Mus musculus: one gene and its partner. The protein of the gene in region 1 interacts with the protein of each later gene in a pairwise test. Links are inferred from orthologs where the notes say so. Each region holds a gene or a part of one and is shown on either strand. Other genes may lie near its edges.

The links.
Region 2: the proteins of CK137956 (region 1) and Akap9 interact in binary tests that used the Homo sapiens proteins (3 or more experiments, as listed by UniProt). The two-hybrid records come from large-scale screens. The link is inferred for Mus musculus from reciprocal best matches to the Homo sapiens genes C1orf94 and AKAP9.

The regions. Positions count from the first base shown.
Region 1 is NC_000070.6:127,967,973-127,972,386, forward strand, and holds the start of CK137956 (uncharacterized protein C1orf94 homolog), read right to left. Parts: upstream 2,870-4,414; 5' UTR 2,863-2,869; coding exon 2,549-2,862; intron 1-2,548.
Region 2 is NC_000071.6:3,926,557-3,930,997, forward strand, and holds the start of Akap9 (A-kinase anchor protein 9), read left to right. Parts: upstream 1-1,629; 5' UTR 1,630-1,886; coding exon 1,887-1,934; intron 1,935-2,032; exon of another isoform or gene 2,033-4,441. UniProt on the Homo sapiens protein: Scaffolding protein that assembles several protein kinases and phosphatases on the centrosome and Golgi apparatus. Required to maintain the integrity of the Golgi apparatus. Required for microtubule nucleation at the cis-side of the Golgi apparatus.

The sequences.
Region 1 (4,414 bases):
GAGAGAAACTTCTTCACATCTCAGCCTACTCCTCTATAATAAAGTATTTTAAGATCTGGGAGGCTGGAAGTTTGAGCTCATCCTGGCATGTATAATGAGTTCCAGGACAGTCTGGGCTGCATAGTGAGAGCCTATCTCAAGAAAACAAACAAATAACCGAGGTTGGGTCTCATTTAAAGAGGGGGAGAGGAACAGTTAAAACCAGAACAGTACAGTTTGGTAATTATGGAAATTTATATCTACACACACTTGGACTCTCACTACCTCAGGCAAAAACTGCAGGGTTTACAGAAATTATAACTGCTGTCATTAGAATGAGTTTATCAATCCTATTTACCAGCAGGACCCTAGAACAGTCCTCCTGATTTGCCACCTCCAGCCACCCCTACCCTCACCCCCACTCAGCAGACAAGGAAACCAAAGCTCAGATCGATCTCACAGCCAGCACAGGGCTGGACCTGGTTATCACAGTCTCAGGTTCTAAAGCCAGCACTGGGCTGGACCTGGTTATCTTTCGTTCCAAGAAGCAGCTGCTAGCTCGCTCTCTGGCCCACTCACTGTGTTCTACTGGGTGGATAGCGATACAATTAGAATGTGGTCTATTCATCTAAGTCAGCAGATTCCCACATCTCCTCTCAGAACTCTTCCAAGTGCAACTGTACTCAGAACTCCAGTTAATAAAGCTGACAAACACCTAAAGAACTCAGGCTGAAACGAGTGCAAGTGTGAGCGTGTATGTGTGTGTGTGTGTGTGTGTGTGTGTGTGTGTGTGTGTGTGTGTGTAGGTGTAGAAGAGAACTGTCCAGCCAAGAGCCCACTTGACTCCAGGGAGGCTCTCTGAAGGCTCCTGGGATCGTGGAGCACAACACCAAAACCCTAGATGAAGCCAACTAAGTAGCCTCCCCTCCCCCAAATTAGATGAACTCCACATTAAGGCAGCCTTGTTTGTATAATGCATCTTTCATTTCTTTGTTTCCCATCACATTCAGCCCTCGTTATCAACTCAGAGGTGGACAAGGCAGGGCGCATCATCCTTAATTTGCAGATGAGGAATTCAAAGCCAAATGGAGAGAAGCGACCGGCCAGAGGTATTCCAGGTCAATTTCCGGCCAAGTGCAGACTGGAAGTAGAGTCTGTCTCCATGAATTCGGTGTGACCTGGCAGGGAAGGGGCTATCTACTGGAAATTGCTGCTGACCTTTGATCCAGAAAGTGGACAATCAGCTACTTGGCCACTGAGAGAGCTGAGTGTAGCCCCAAGGTTCCCTGTGCCAAGGCACTGTCCCAAAGCAGATGGCAGTGAACGGGGCAAAGGAGCCCAGTGCCACTGAGCAGACTAGCCACAGGATTCTGGCTGTAGAGAGGCCATTTGCATCGGAGCCGGGTCCTGCTGAGCACAGGGCAGAGGAGGCAGGAGCAGGCAGCATGCCTTCCGCCTTCATCTGCAGCAAGCAAAGGCGCTTGCAAAGGGACTGCTGCAGCAAGAGCAGACCTGAGCATCAGCTCGACTTTGCTTTCCACCTCAGTGATGCTTAGAGAGCCCTGAAACCAGAGGCAGCTGATAAATGCCTGGATGATGTGCCCCCCCCCCCCCCACACACACACTGCAGAGCATCTATGAACTGAGTCGGAGCATGTGTTGAGGGCAGACAACACTTAATTATCACTTAGGCTTTAATTAGCACTTAATTATTAACACTTAATCCATCTGTAAAATGGGGACACTAATACCTGTTTCATAGGGATGCTGGGAGGATTAATTAATGCGTGCAGCCCACTTTGAAGATGCAGAGCCTTGGAAGAGTACTCAGCAGCGGCATTAATCACCACAGCTGATGCACTCCTTTTCCTAATGAGATCCTGTCTTCCTCTATGCTCCTTCCTCTCCTTTCCAATGGCTGTCTCCTCAACTTTTCCCTAGTACTGAAACACTTAGCTCTGTGTTTCCCCGACAGGCAGGGGATTTCCCATTTGGGAAACCGGCTATTTACAGCCATCTTCCGCACTTTAATTTTCTATTATGTCCTCTGAATATGTCAATGCCTTCCCAGTAAATATTTTGATGTGCGCTCTTGCAGTAGCTCTGTGGATGCTGAATGGGACAGCTGCTCTCTGTATTAGGGGATTCCAGATGTGGTTTCCAACCACCAGGATCATCTGTGCCAATGCCTGGACTTTTCTTGGGAAAGGGCTAAAGATCATCTAGCTGCCTCTGGGGGCAGTAGTGAGTCACCTAACCCTTAGGTTGGCAATAATGCTCCTGCAAAGACCCCAGATCTTTATCTTAGCCACGTATGTCTTTAGAATGAAAAATGTCTCCTTAGGCGCTGAAAAAGAAGCTGCCAGGAATGGTTTCTTTCCTCCCGTCTGGAACTTCAGGACCTTGGCCAGCTCCTCCGACCGAAAGTGACTCGAGATTACAGAAATGGGGATGGGGAGGAGATATGTGTGCAGGGCTTAACACTGGGCCAGAGCATTTCAACCCAAAGTCAGACTTCATTTCCCCTTTCTCCCTTTCTTGATTATCAACCAAACAGGGGACTACTCACTCTTCTTGGAAGCTGACAGCTGCGGTCACGGGAGCAGAGTGCTTCTCCAGCGAGGTCCTGGGCTGCAGGGATTCTGGCAAGCCCTGAACTCGCTTCCAGATGTCATGGCAAATCTTGTCTAAGCTATCCTGGGGTGTGTCCTGGTGGATCCAGACATATCTGGGGAATGGCCCCAGGGCGGAGGGACGCTTGGCCACGAGGGCTGAGGATGGAGGGAGCCCATTTCCGCTGGCCATCCTCTTTCTTTCTTTCCGGAAGCCCCTTTGTCCACCCAGGGCTGGGAGACAAAGGGACTGTGGTCCACCAGCCCTCATTCACCAGAAAGGGAGCTGAAGACAGGGCCGGGGAAGTAGTCAGTTCTGGCTGGCTGTTGCTCCAGCCAAGGGATGGGTTTCAGAGGCCTTTGGATGGGGTAGGGATGAGGGGTAGAGGGCAACTTTCTTTTGGGGAGGGGGGCTTAAGTTGACTTGTTTCTATTTGCTCTTTCCTGGCTTTTGCCCCCCTCCCCCTCTCCCGTAGAAGAAAATATTTAAAAGTCAACAAAAACCAGTAACTTAGTAACCGTGGAATGCCCCGGAACTCAGGAACCAAGCGCCTGGGCGGGCAGAATGACATCTGGGAACGACTGGAGGGGAGGACTGGCTCTCCCCACAAAACCCAGCACTCCCCAGTTGTGACACCCCTGTGACACCTTTCAGGGCCTGGGACTCCTTTCAGGGCCTGGGAATCAGCCCATTCTAGCCTGCCAAGCCACCAGAAGGGCAGGATAAGGGTCAGACACTACACTAGACTGGGAGGGGGCGGGCCATGGGACTGTCTCCTCCTGCCTTCCCTAAGGTTCGGTGTACACGGAGGGCTAACGGCCCTCGACCACTGCAGGTCCTGGCTTTAGCTCTCCCGACTGCCCCCTTCTGTCCCTCTCTCTGCTACTGCTGCTCTGCCTCCCCAAAAAGAGATCTCCAATGCGGTGCTGTGCTAGTAGTCAGTCGGCCTGGCCCAGGTCCTCAGCAAACACTTGTCGTGTCCCCGCGCAGAGCTGCGACCCGCACCGCAGAGGGTCCCAACCCTTAAAAGGGCTCCGATTGGGCAGGGCAGGCCCGGGCGGGGTCAGCGGATTTGCGTGTCAGTCGCTCCCACACTCCTGCCGTCGAGAGCTGGGATTCTTTCAGTGGGTTCAAGCGCAACGGCTGGGTGCGTGGGAAGTCGTGGGAGGGCGGCACGGGCCGGGCGTTCGTCTCCTAAGACCCGCAGGTGGAGTGGGGGCGGGGTGCAACTGGCAAAACCCCAGGGAGCTTCCTCTTAGAAGGAAGTTTCCATCTCATTTCCATTTCACCACTGCATACAACCTCAGAGGTTGTCTAGAAGTGGGGGACCCTGCCCCTTTGTCCGCTGGCTTTAATCCTAACTGCCATCCCCTGAGAACACCTAAGGCCGAGGGCTGGCTTCAAACCTGATCTTGTTCGCTCTCGCGAGCTCGTACTCCTTTTCATTCGGCGCACAGGATGGGAGGAAACTGAGTCTCCAAGTTACAAATGGCTGTGTCCTGAGTTCAAGAAGCGAAGCTCGGGACTAGACATGATTTCATGCCCATGGCTAGCTCCCAAGCTGGATCCAGCACCAGGCAGGCAGAGGTAGGGTTACAAATCACACCTTTTACTAGGGATCGGTAGTCGCCCCCACCCCCTCCAGAGAAAAGCTTCACCTTTGAGAAAGCCTGACCTTGCCAGGTATTCCCTGGTCCCCCAAAGCCAAAGCCATGGTTACATTTTCCCACCCTGGAAAACAGTGTGGGAGGTGGAGAAAGAAGCAGTAGAGGCAGATAGCCTTGGACTGGAGAAGCCAGTCACAGTGATTTGATCATCACTG
Region 2 (4,441 bases), on another chromosome or scaffold:
GATTGAACAGGTATCATAAGAGATGGCCATAATTCCACAGATGTGCCCTTCTAATAGATCAGCTATGTCACTGAGCAGCGTTTATGCCTGAGACAGGTACATATAATTGATATAAGTGATCTAAAGGGAAATGCAGAAATAATCTTGCAACATTTAGCAGATCACTAACATCTTTAGTTACTAAGATGGAACAGATTGCAACAAAGAGTTGACCTGCTGAGCCACTGAGAAAGGAGAGCCCATTAACAAACAGGAAGTCTGTCAGATATCCTGGGCTTGCTCCTCCTAGGCAATCAGAATCAACCGAGCATCACTTAACTCCAGGCAGTTTAGAACACTTCATTCTAGACCTGGAGCCACAAAGGGCTCCCGAGAAAAACACGCCTCTCTTAGATCAGCCTCTTTTACTTTCCTTTATTCTTATGATGAGGTGTCTGTTCTCACGTCCCCAATTCCAGCTGAGAAAATGGGGCAAATACACACTTGATTGTTTTAGGTTGGCACAATTATGTTTGAAATATAAGATTTCTAAATTACAGGTACTAGAAACATTTTTGGTGTCTGATAGAGCTAAGGTTTTTAGTCTCCCCCTTTCATATGTATATCCAGTTAACACTACTTCTATGATTAAACTAATATCTTTAGTTCTTACCTGCTAATTTTTCAGTCCAAACCTATGTTAAAACAAAGAAGAAAGGCTCAATCTGAGACACTAAAATGGTTCGTTCACTCCAGAAATGGATTTGAGGGGCAGGAGAGGGGAAAGAGGGAGTGAGGGAAGGGAAAGAAAGGATTGCCAGAGCAGGTGGGGGAGGAAAGATGTTAAGAATCGATTTATAAGCACGGCTCAATAAAATGTAACAAAGTTTATTGGGCATAATCTTTCACAGTAGCCATTTCAAGAAATAGAAAGGACAAAGGTTTGAGTGTTTTCACATTCCAGGAGCAGTCATAAATATTAGGCAGCTCGTCCAAGAACTCCAGGTAAAGTCAGAGAACCATAGCTGTTTTAAGGTCTTTAAAGTTCAAAGTTAACATAGTCCCTTTTGCTTGGAAAACCTTTTTCCAGCCCTTTACCTGAGGTAATGTCTACCTCAGAGGTGAAGGGGAGAGAGGTAAGCCAGGAGGGGTCATGGTGGGGTGGGGGGGATGGGAGGAGAGGGGGGCTGAGGTCAGGATGTAAAGTGAATAAATAACTAATGGGGGGCTGGAGGAGGGAAAGTTAGGGTAGACTGGCTTTGTTCCCAACTTAGATTCCGAATTCGAGTTCCTTAGGAACACAGTTGCCAAGGAGAAGGAAGCCCCTAGGAGTGTCTCAGCTTCACTCCAGAGAACAAAGAGTTGGGAGAAGGCTCTACCGTAGGCTGCTCTTCCAGCGCAAGGCGAAGGAGAAGACTATGGGTTGAGAGGGAACCTGTGGGGGAACTGAGGGAGGGATTTGGGGTGAAGGAAGGATCAGGCTTCCCCGGGTTGGAGGGGGGAGGTTCCGCCCTCGCCCTTTCCACTGCGGCTCCTTGTTGTGAGGCCGCGGTCGCTTTGGAATTGGAAATGCAGCGCGGCGTGTTCCGAGCACCGGGTCCCCGGAGCAGTGGGTGTCGGGCCGCCGGACCCTGACCCTCCCTCCGCCCCGGTCAAGCCGGGCGCGCACAAGCACCTGCCGGGCCACGCTCGCGGCTGCGCCGGCCGCCCGCCCGCCCGCTCCGCCCCGCCGGCCGCCGTGTGTTTACGTGGAGACGAAGATGGCGGCGGTGACCGCGGGGCCCGTGCAGGCCGGCACGAGTCGCCGGTGAGCGCCCAGCGTGTCCCGGGTGGCCACGGAGCTCTGTCCGCCTCTTTCTAAACAGATCTTTCCTCTCCACTGCGTCCCAGCCTACCCTGCAGACGCCATGGAGGACGAGGAGAGGCAAAGGAAGCTGGCAGCCGGCAAGGCGAAGGTAGGAGCGCGGCGGCCACGGGCCGCGTCGGGAGGCGGTGACCCGGGGCGGAGGCTGGGGGAGAGGCCGGGCCGCGGGGCCGGGGCCGGGGCTGGGGCTGGGGCTGGGGCCGGGGCCGGGGCTGCGGCTGGGGCTAGGGGGCTGCGGCTGGGGCTGAAGAGCCGCCCTCTCTTGCTGCTGCTGGAGACCTGATGACTGCACCGCTCGGCTTGGTTCCTTTCTCCCCGGTGCCACACAAAACCCCCTCTCACCCCGGCTGTTAACTGCTAAGGAATTGCTTCGCAGCCACCACCCTTTCACTTTCTGAAGGGAGTTCAGGGAGTCGGCCAGGCTTTGTGCTTTCCGGAGCAAGGGTTTAGGGTTTTCTTTATTCCGGGAACACCCCTGCGCTGACCATCAGCCTGCCTTCTTGAGGTGTCACGCTGGCACTCTTGGTGTGTGTGTGTGATTGGCCTGTGACAGCTGCCTCGGCAGTGTCTTGAGTGTGCCACAAGTGCCAGCTGTGAACTTGGCTGTAGGGGCGTTCTTTTTGTTTTTTGTTTTTTGTTTTTGTTTTTGCCGTTCTTTGTATATTCGTGCTTGAGGTCTTTGTCATGGCAGGCTCTTTTGTAATGTGTGGAATGGAACTTCGGGGCATCGAAAGGTTCCATAGACTAAAACACCTACAGAATTGCTGTTTTAGATAATGTATTTGTTATTATGTATTTGGTAAGTTTGATTTTGTGTGGGTATGCGGGTATGGCAAGTCATGTATAATCCAGACTTATATGTAGGCATCTTCCAGTGGGCTTACTAAATAATTTGACACTGTTATGAATGGAATAGAATGATTTCTTTGTAAAATTACCTGTTTGAGCTTACCTTTGGACCTCCTTGCTCCCAAAAATGAAGTTACCTTTAAGATATAGTGCCTTTTTTTAAGACCTTATTGTTACTGGGAATAATTAAGTTATATTTTAAGCTTATTGTACTTGTTAGTTTGGAACTGTGATATGGAAGTGTTGTAAGCTAAATAAACCCCTCTCCTCTCCAAATTGCTTTGGTCATGATGTTTCATCATAGCAATAGTAACCCTAACGAAGGCACCTACCTTTCTTTTTTCTTCTCTCACATCATTAACAAAGGAAGCAGGTCAGTAATGAGTGAAGGGCCCTACTGGAGAGAGACGTTGGTACATGCTCAGCATTAGTTTGTTAAAGGAGTGTGTGCAATAGCTAATCTTGTATTTCTAGAATATAGTTAGTTGGTTTCCCATAAGCATCCTCTGTGTAAGGTCAAGATTTGAATGTGTCTCTGTGGCATTCTATAAATGGAGGGAAAGCCCAGCTTAGCTTCCCATTGTGCACCCCAAGGGACTGACCGGGCTCAGAGCATTGAAGGAATTGGAGGTGTAGTGTGCAGTCTTCCTCTCTTGTTCTCCCACCCTTTCTTTCTTTAGCAGAATCTTAGACTATAGTCCAGGTGAGCCTAGAGATCAATGTGTAGTCCAGGCTGGCTGGCTTCAGACTCTAGGGCAATTCTGTGTTAACCTTCAGAGCGATGGAATTCTGTGTGTGAGCTACTGTGTCCAGATAAGGTAGATGTCTTATTGACTACTTCATAATTTCTACTCCCTTCCCTAAATATATTCTGTGCTAAATATGTGTGAGGGACTCCTGCTGAGCTTTGTCTGCCTTCACTAGACCTGTCTTAGGGTTAAGTTGCTGCCAATAGATACTGGATTTATCTTTAGAAGAGATTGTGAATGTGGTTTCTACACATGTCTCTTTGTCTTTCAAAATGCTGTCTTTGTGGGGTTGGGGAGATAGGTGGTCTATTCACTGTGTGAACTGCTTGCTGTACAGGCATGTACACCGGGGTTCATAGTTGTAGCGCCCACACAAAGCTGGACGGCTGGACATGGTGGCATGCATCTGTAATGCAGGGCTTGGGAGAAAGGGACAGACAGACCCGTGGGACGTCCTGTCCAGTCCTCTAGCCAAAACACCAAGCTTGAGTGTCATCTGGACACCCTGTCTCAAAACATACTATACAAGGTGGATGGTGACAAGGGACAGCAAATGTGTCCCTGCACATAATTCATAGCTCTGCCTTTGGGGATGCAGTCTCTCTCCTAAAATTACTTTATTTAAAATATTACTTTGTCATAGAATTGCACCTACTCTCCCCATGAGGGTTATACCCATGTGTCTTATAAGTAGTTCTGGTAATGTAACAAACAGACACTGAGATAGCCTATGAAGACAACATGAAGAAAATAGTTTTCTCAGTTACCTGAAGGAATGTTCTGCAGCCATTACGCTTGTAGAGCCTCAAATGAACATGGGTCATAAAGTGCACCTTGTGTTTTCAAAAGCACTACATGTGTCTTTCATCTGTATAAACATGCTGCCTCTAATTAGGAGTGAAAAAAAAAACCGTATTGTGAATATAATCAGTGACTGGGGGGTGTAGCTCTGTGGTGCAGTGCAGAGCCCTGGATCCAGCTGACTTCATAAAGTCCCGTT